Xenopus tropicalis: one gene and its partner. The protein of the gene in region 2 purifies or fractionates together with the protein of the main gene of each other region. This does not show direct contact. Links are inferred from orthologs where the notes say so. Each region holds a gene or a part of one and is shown on either strand. Other genes may lie near its edges.

Evidence for each region.
Region 1: the proteins of dcaf4 (region 2) and cops6 purify together in Homo sapiens (affinity purification with mass spectrometry; 4 studies listed by BioGRID and IntAct, counting the BioPlex papers as one, with this or other methods). This does not show direct contact. The link is inferred for Xenopus tropicalis from reciprocal best matches to the Homo sapiens genes DCAF4 and COPS6.

What each region holds. Positions count from the first base shown.
Region 1 is NC_030679.2:144,242,828-144,246,427, forward strand, and holds the start of cops6 (COP9 signalosome complex subunit 6), read right to left. Parts: upstream 2,107-3,600; 5' UTR 2,086-2,106; coding exon 2,034-2,085; intron 1,766-2,033; exon of another isoform or gene 1,679-1,765; intron 675-1,678; coding exon 549-674; intron 458-548; coding exon 326-457; intron 1-325. UniProt on the Homo sapiens protein: Component of the COP9 signalosome complex (CSN), a complex involved in various cellular and developmental processes.
Region 2 is NC_030684.2:106,297,379-106,301,512, forward strand, and holds the start of dcaf4 (DDB1- and CUL4-associated factor 4), read right to left. Parts: upstream 3,037-4,134; 5' UTR 2,465-3,036; intron 2,446-2,464; exon of another isoform or gene 2,040-2,445; intron 1-2,039. UniProt on the Homo sapiens protein: May function as a substrate receptor for CUL4-DDB1 E3 ubiquitin-protein ligase complex.

The DNA of each region.
Region 1 (3,600 bases), on a different chromosome or scaffold from region 2:
CTATGGCAGCATAGGGATTCCCCTGTACTAAGCACAATTCAGCAGGAACAGCCCCCTAAGTTTGCTCATAGCCTGTACAGAGAGATACCATAAAACTATGGCACATAGGGATTCCCCTGTACTAAGCACAATTCAGCAGGAACAGCCCCCTAAGTTTGCTCATAGCCTGTACAGAGAGATACCATAAAACTATGGCAGCATAGGGATTCCCCTGTACTAAGCCCAACATTTTTAGGTGCTATATAGTGATTAAAAGATGACCATTTCCATATTGTGTGTGGGAATTATAACATGTACGTGCCCCTAGTGGCACATAAGCACTTACATTGCTCTTCCTTGGTGTAATAGTACTCTTTATTAATGGTGATCTTTTCTTCGTTAATCTGAGAAAGCAGCTCAAACGAGTTCATCACCTCAATGTTTCTGCCCTCCTGCTTCCCGATTAGGGCTCCGATAACTGTGGGTGGGAGAGGGAAGGGGGGTCAGTAAGTGGGTGAAGCCTCAGGATCCATAGGAAGAAATGAGAGGAAGGGATAGTGGCACATTACCCTGCACCGGGCGCCCCTCCTGGGATCTCATGCGTATCCAGTGATCGGAGATGTTCAAGATGACGAGGGGATGGAGCGCAACTGTCACGCTGCCAGTTACCCCCTGCGCCATGACAGTGGGGAAGGCTAGGAAAGAAACGACAAAATGTTCAATAACAGTTCTAGTAAAAAAAATACATAGGGGAAGTTTGTACAATAATATCAAAAAAAGCTACCTTCTATACTGTGGGCATTTATCATATTCTACACATTTAATGCTGCTTTCCTAGTACAGAAAGTTCCGAATTAGGGAAAGGCCATCTTCTATAGACTCCATTTTAATAAAAGAATTCACATTTTTGAAAATGATTCTCTTTTCTCTGTAATAATAAAACAGTACCTGTACTTGATCCCAACTAAGATATAATTACCCCTTATTGGGGCAGAACAGCCCTATTGGGTTTATTTCATGGTTAAATGATTCCCTTTTCTCTGTAATAATAAAACAGTACCTGTACTTGATCCCAACTAAGATATAATTACCCCTTATTGGGGCAGAACAGCCCTATTGGGTTTATTTAATGGTTAAATGATTCCCTTTTCTCTGTAATAATAAAACAGTACCTGTACTTGATCCCAACTAAGATATAATTACCCCTTATTGGGGCAGAACAGCCCTATTGGGTTTATTTAATGGTTAAATGATTCCCTTTTCTCTGTAATAATAAAACAGTACCTGTACTTGATCCCAACTAAGATATAATTACCCCTTATTGGAGCCAAAACAATCCTATTGGGTTTATTTAAATTATTTTTTAATAGACTTAACGTAGGAGATCCAAATTACGGAAAGACCCCTTATCCAGAAAACCCCAGGTCCTGAGCATTCTGGATAATGGGTCCTATACCTATAAGATATTGTTACATTTGTTTTGGACCAGCTATGGTCACTCTTTTCTCCTCATAAAGTGACAGGTCTGGCTCATATTACCAGTGAATAGTTAAACAAACAGTATCTGCCCTCAGGTGTTTTCTCTGACAGAGCAGAAGGCTTTGCCCTTTGGGCAGCCATGTTTGGCCCTGGCAGAAATACAGCCAGACTGTAATACACAGGGAAGCATGTAATAGTTCAGTCATTATTTTGGTTACACATGATTTTCCTGTCACAACTCAAAGTCTGTATTTATGTGAATACTCCCAAGAAGCCATGTTGTTCCCTCACACACATAAAGCTTCACTTCAGCGCTTCACGTTACTGCGCGCCTGTTTCCATTGATTGACGTTTGGCACAGCCAATGGCGCTGCGCCACTCATTTCCTCCTTATCCGGACAACCAGTCCACACGCTATACAGGCAAGCCCGCATCCAATGGAGACCTATAGGCTTCACTGTAACGATTTCAGCGTAAAGCCGGTGTCTTCCTGTGTATTTTCATAAACTCCATATGAGAGCGAACTGTTTTGCTCCTGCTGCATTTTGCAATAGCCAAGCGCTTTACATACTCACCGGCGACGTCCACCTCCATCCCGCTGCCGTTCGAAGCAGCAGCCGCCGCCATCTTGCTCCACCCTGCACTGTGGCTCTTTACTAAGCTTGCGCATTTCCCAAGGTGCCTTTCGGTTATCATGTGATAGCCTGGCTTCCTAAACATGTCAGTCACACAAGGGGGTCTGTGGCAATGTTGGCTATAGGGCTTAAAGGGATTGTGTCATGATATTTATGGGGAACTTTTTATTTATTAAATGACACTGTTACACAGCAAATAATTCCCTCTGCCATTTAACCTTTTATTCTTGAACCAACAAATGTATTTGTAGCTGTAATATTGGTGTGTAGGCGCCATCTCAGTGCATTGTGCCTGAGTCTGAGCTTTCAGCCAGCGCTACACATTAGAACTGCTTTCAGCTAACCTATTGTTTCTCCTACTCCCATGTAACTGGAGGAGTCCCAAGCCGGACTTGGATTTCTTACTATTTAGTGCTATTCTGATACCTACTGGGAGCTGCTATCTTGCTCCCTTCCCATTGTTCTGCTGATTGGCTGCTGGGGGTGAGGGGGGGGTATCACTCCAACTTGCAGCGCAGCAGTAAAGTGTGCCTGAGTCTGAGCTTTCAGAAGGAGCAAGTGCTACACATTAGAACTACTTTCAGCTAACCTATTGTTTCTCCTACTCCCATGTAACTGGAGGAGTCCCAAGCCGGACTTGGATTTCTTACTATTGAGTGCTATTCTGATACCTACTGGGAGCTGCTATCTTGCTCCCTTCCCATTGTTCTGCTGATTGGCTGCTGGGGGTGAGGGGGGGGTGGTATCACTCCAACTTGCAGCACAGCAGTAAAGTGTGAGTGAAGTTTATCAGAGCACAGGTCACATGGCTGTGGTACCCTGGGAAATGAAGAATATGGCTAGCCCCATGGGAAAAACAGATTACAATGCAGGATTCTGCTCTATTAACTGATGGGTTTTGTAACAAACATGTTTTCCCATGTCAGTGTTCTTTTAAATTAAGCCTAGACCTTATACAAAAATTCAGTCTCTCCCGGGGGATATATGGTAAATGCTAACTAGTGACTTGCCGTTTCATGGAGATAGTAAGTTATGTATAAACAACCCCCTCCCACAGTTTGTTGTGTCTGTCGAACAGATACGCTGATGGGTAATCTGTTCCCCCGTGCTCTAATGAACTACTTTTTTCCTCCCAAAAGTGCTCGCAAGAACCAGGAAGTTGGAAGCTGAAATTAGTTACAAAAAAAACATGGATTTTTTTTTTCCAGTTAAAATAATAGGCAGAAATTGTGTTGTAATTTAATATATTATAATAATCTGTGCCCTTTGCCTGCTTCGTTGCAGCAGTTTAAGTGCACGTTCGCCACTAGATGGAGCAGTATGGGTGCTAATAAGTAAGTAGGTGGTATAGTAATAAGATGTACATCCGCAGAGTAACTTGGGAACGGAGTAACCGCATGTATAAGTGTGTGGTATATGCCCAAATGGTTCCTTCCTCCCAGTACTGATCTGCTGTTTGTGTCGCTGTATTTATAATTGGCCTGTGGTAAGTTTCGCTCATAAATTA
Region 2 (4,134 bases):
TACTGAATAAACCTAATAGGAATATTTTGCCTCCAATAAGGATTAATTACACCTAAGTTAGGATCAAGTACGAGGTAGTGTTTTATTATTACAGAGAAAAAGGAAACAATTTTTAAAAATTAGAATTATTTGCTTATAATGGAGTCTATGGGAGATGGCCTTTCTGTAATTTGGAACTTTCTGGATAACGGGTTTCTGGATAAGTGATCCCATACCTGTACCATGAAACTCAATCCCCTATGTAAGCACAAAGAACGAATACATTTTCATATTTACTTAAGAAAAATCTTAAATTAGAATACTTTTAAATAAATACTGTATGCCAAAAATAAATACACAAAGAAATCAAATAAATACATAAAAGTTTTGTATTTAGGCCTTGTATTTATCCCATTACCACTTTCTTGCAGATAATTGATTTACACGCAAGCAGGGAGCCAGAACATACTACTTCAGACACACGTGACATTGAGTGTGGCTACATGGGATTAAATATTTCAGCACTCAGACTCACACTCATTTTATCCACAGGTTAGAAACTAGCATAATCGCACAACAACCTAGCCTGGTCCAAAACACTACCAACACCTTTATTTATCAGGCTCGGAAAGAAAGGTGGCCATACACGCACCGATAATATCGTACAAAACCTCGTTTCGTACGATATTCGGTGCGTGTATGGTATGTCGGCGAGTCGACCGATATCGCAGGAAGCTGCTGATATCGGCCGACTCGCCGATCAGACCAGTTTGAAAATTTTGATCGGGCGCCATAGAAGGCGCCTGACCAAAATCTCCCTTCAGCGCTGAATCGGCAGAAGGAGGTAGAAATCCTATTGTTTCTACCCTCCTTACCTGCCGATTCAGCCCTGAATGGTGTGTGGCGGATCTGACGATGTTTCGTGCGACCATCGTCAGATCGCCACGTGTATAGCCAGCTGAAGTCATGAACAGTCACACATAAACATTCTGCTTCACAAAAGTCAATGGCTGCGTTTTAACCAATTCAAGAAACAAAAAAAACCTAAATTTACATTTAAGCACACACTTTCTTCCAGCAGTGGAATGGTTAAAATGTTTTCCCTTTTTTTTTTTTACCTAAAGAGTGTTAAGGGACAGTAACACACACACACTTTTGTACAGACTATAGGTTGATTTAAGAGATAGATGTATTACAGTTTTAGCTTTAATATCCAAAAATATATACACAAAAATTAGATATTACAGAAGGGTATACAAATATAAAAGCTACAAACAAACCAAATAAAGAAACCTCTATCTTCTTAAAAAAAATAATACCAGGGAGGAAGTCCCTTTAAGACTACTAATCAAAGAATGTGACAGCTTTGTCTTTTAACATTCAGACTGGTTAGTTCCAGTATCTGTTTCCCAGTGTTTCGTTGTGCCAGTTACCCTTTTACTGCTACAGCACTACTGCTCTGACATACGACAGGGATACAGTGCTTTATAATGGAGATGAATATCATTAATATACACATGACTAAGTTCCATGGATGGTGCATTGACATATTGTTCTCCTGTGAGTACAGTTGCTGCTTTCATGTCTGCTTATTGTATATAGTGAGATAGGAGAACACAGCAAGAGTTGTGTGTAGGGTACATAATAAGGTGGTGCCCTACCCTTACAACTCCCAGCATGCCTACAGTCTTCGACTAATGGGACTGCTGGACTGTATATACCGAAAGAATCAATTGTAACTCAATATATGTTCTTTAGCCATTTGTTCTACTCCAAGAGGCCCCTATGATGCCTTTATTCCCAAAATGAAAACAAGTCCAGTAGTGAGCCCTCACAACTATAATCGGGCTTTCCCTATATTTAAAACTCACGATGACAGCATTAATATTAAAAGGATGTGTAACCATTATGGGGCCACGGCTACTAGCAGTTATAGCGCTGTTAGAGCACACTTCCGAAGCTAATGCTTGGGGTATAAAGCCATATAAACTTCCTTTCAGTAGAAGCTACGGGGAGAGAAAGGAGCCATTCAGTAAAGCACAACAATATCAAATACTCACAAAACCAAATTAAATCCTTCAAAGCACGAAGCAGTCTGAGGAAAACAAACACATGTGCAACCATAGAGCCGGGCAGCAGCCAGACAGGCGACGCGCATTTCCTTCTATATTCAGCTTTTGCCACCGCTGCCACCTGGTGGGCGGAGGGCCATACAAGTTTGCTGGTTGAAGAGAAACGTAGCACTGGGCACTTACAAACAGAACCGCTGGAAAGTCATATTTATAGCGACAGCGGCTTGTGGGGAATAAAAGGGAGGGAGCCTAAGATCATATACAGTAAGGGCGTCAGAAGCCCAATAAATAGACCGATTGTCAGAGCAGCAAGCAGAATAATAGGCATAGTAACAGTAACAATTTTTATTAAAAAAAATGAAAACTACACCCTCCAAAAGTTACCCATGTCCAGCTGCATTTTACTTAATTACCTCCCATTTAGCCAAAAAGCCCCCAACAAAACTCCACACCATGCTATGGGTACATTTTTGAAGAATGGTGATACGGCGACTAGCCCCCGACGTCTCTCCCCACAGGATATCCGGCTGTAACCCGGAAGTCCAGTCATCTTAGTGCAGAAAAGAAATTTTTGCTGTTGGTAAGTTCTCCCTCTTCTCATGTTCTTTTCAGTGGCTGGAAAAGGGAAAGGAAATGCTGGGTGAGAGGTATGCGAAGGGGAAGGGGCTTTGTGAGAGACACGCTGAGGGAATGGCTGGCTGGGGGCGGAAGACAGACTGAGGAATGGCTGGGGAACTGAAAGAGAAACGCTGGGTGAGAGGTATGCGAAAGGGACTTTGCGAGAGACACGCTGAGAGGAGGGGAAGGCTCTGTAAGAGGAATGCTGATGGGGGCGAGAAATTGATAGAAATGATAAGAAGAGGCTAAAGGGTGTGTGGGGAAAGCTGATTGAGGAGAAAGTCATTGTGAAGGAGAACAGTGTGGGGAAGCCTGACTGAGGGGGCATTACAGGGGAAAGACTGTGTGAAGGGGAACAGTGTGGGGAAGCCTGACTGAGGGGGGCATTACAGGGAAAGTCATTGTGAAGGGGAACAGTGTGGGGAAGCCTGACTGAGGGGGGCATTACAGGGAAAGTCATTGTGAAGGGGAACAGTGTGGGGAAGCCTGACTGAGGGGGCATTACAGGGGAAAGGCTGTGTGAAGGGGAACAGTGTGGGGAAGCCTGACTGAGGGGGCCATTACAGGGGAAAGACTGTGTGAAGGGGAATAGTGTGGGGAAGCCTGACTGAGGGGGCATTACATGGAAAGTCATTGTGAAGGGGAACAGTGTGGGGAAGCCTGACTGAGGGGGCATTACAGGGAAAGTCATTGTGAAGGGGAACAGTGTGGGGAAGCCTGACTGAGGGGGCATTACAGGGGAAAGGCTGTGTGAAGGAGAACAGTGTGGGGAAGCCTGACTGAGGGGGCCATTACAGGGGAAAGACTGTGTGAAGGGGAATAGTGTGGGGAAGCCTGACTGAGGGGGCATTACATGGAAAGTCATTGTGAAGGGGAACAGTGTGGGGAAGCCTGACTGAGGGGGCATTACAGGGAAAGTCATTGTGAAGGGGAACAGTGTGGGGAAGCCTGACTGAGGGGGCATTACAGGGGAAAGGCTGTGTAAAGGATGACAGTGTTGGGAAGCCTGACTGAGGGGGGCATTACAGGGGAAAGGCTGTGTGAAGGGAAACAGTCTGGGGAAGCCTGACTGAGGGGGCATTACAGGGGAAAGGCTGTGTGAAGGGGAACAGTGTTGGGAAGCCTGACTGAGGGGGGCATTACAGGGGAAAGGCTGTGTGAAGGGAAACAGTCTGGGGAAGCCTAGCTGAGGGGGCCATTGCAGGGGAAAGGCTGTGTGAAGGGGAACAGTGTTGTGAAGCCTGATTGACGGAAAAGCAGCATCAGCAGTGGGAGAGGACGTGGAGAGGAGCACTGTACAGGGCAGGACTGCTGAGCCCCACTGCAGGTCACGAACAGGGAAAGAGAAAGGAGCAGCCACCTGATCCATACCAGTGACTCTTGATACGCCTATACTCTGTGAATGTATTGGAAAGTTTTATCTGTATTAAAGTAATTAAGCTTTTACACGTATGCATTTCTCCCA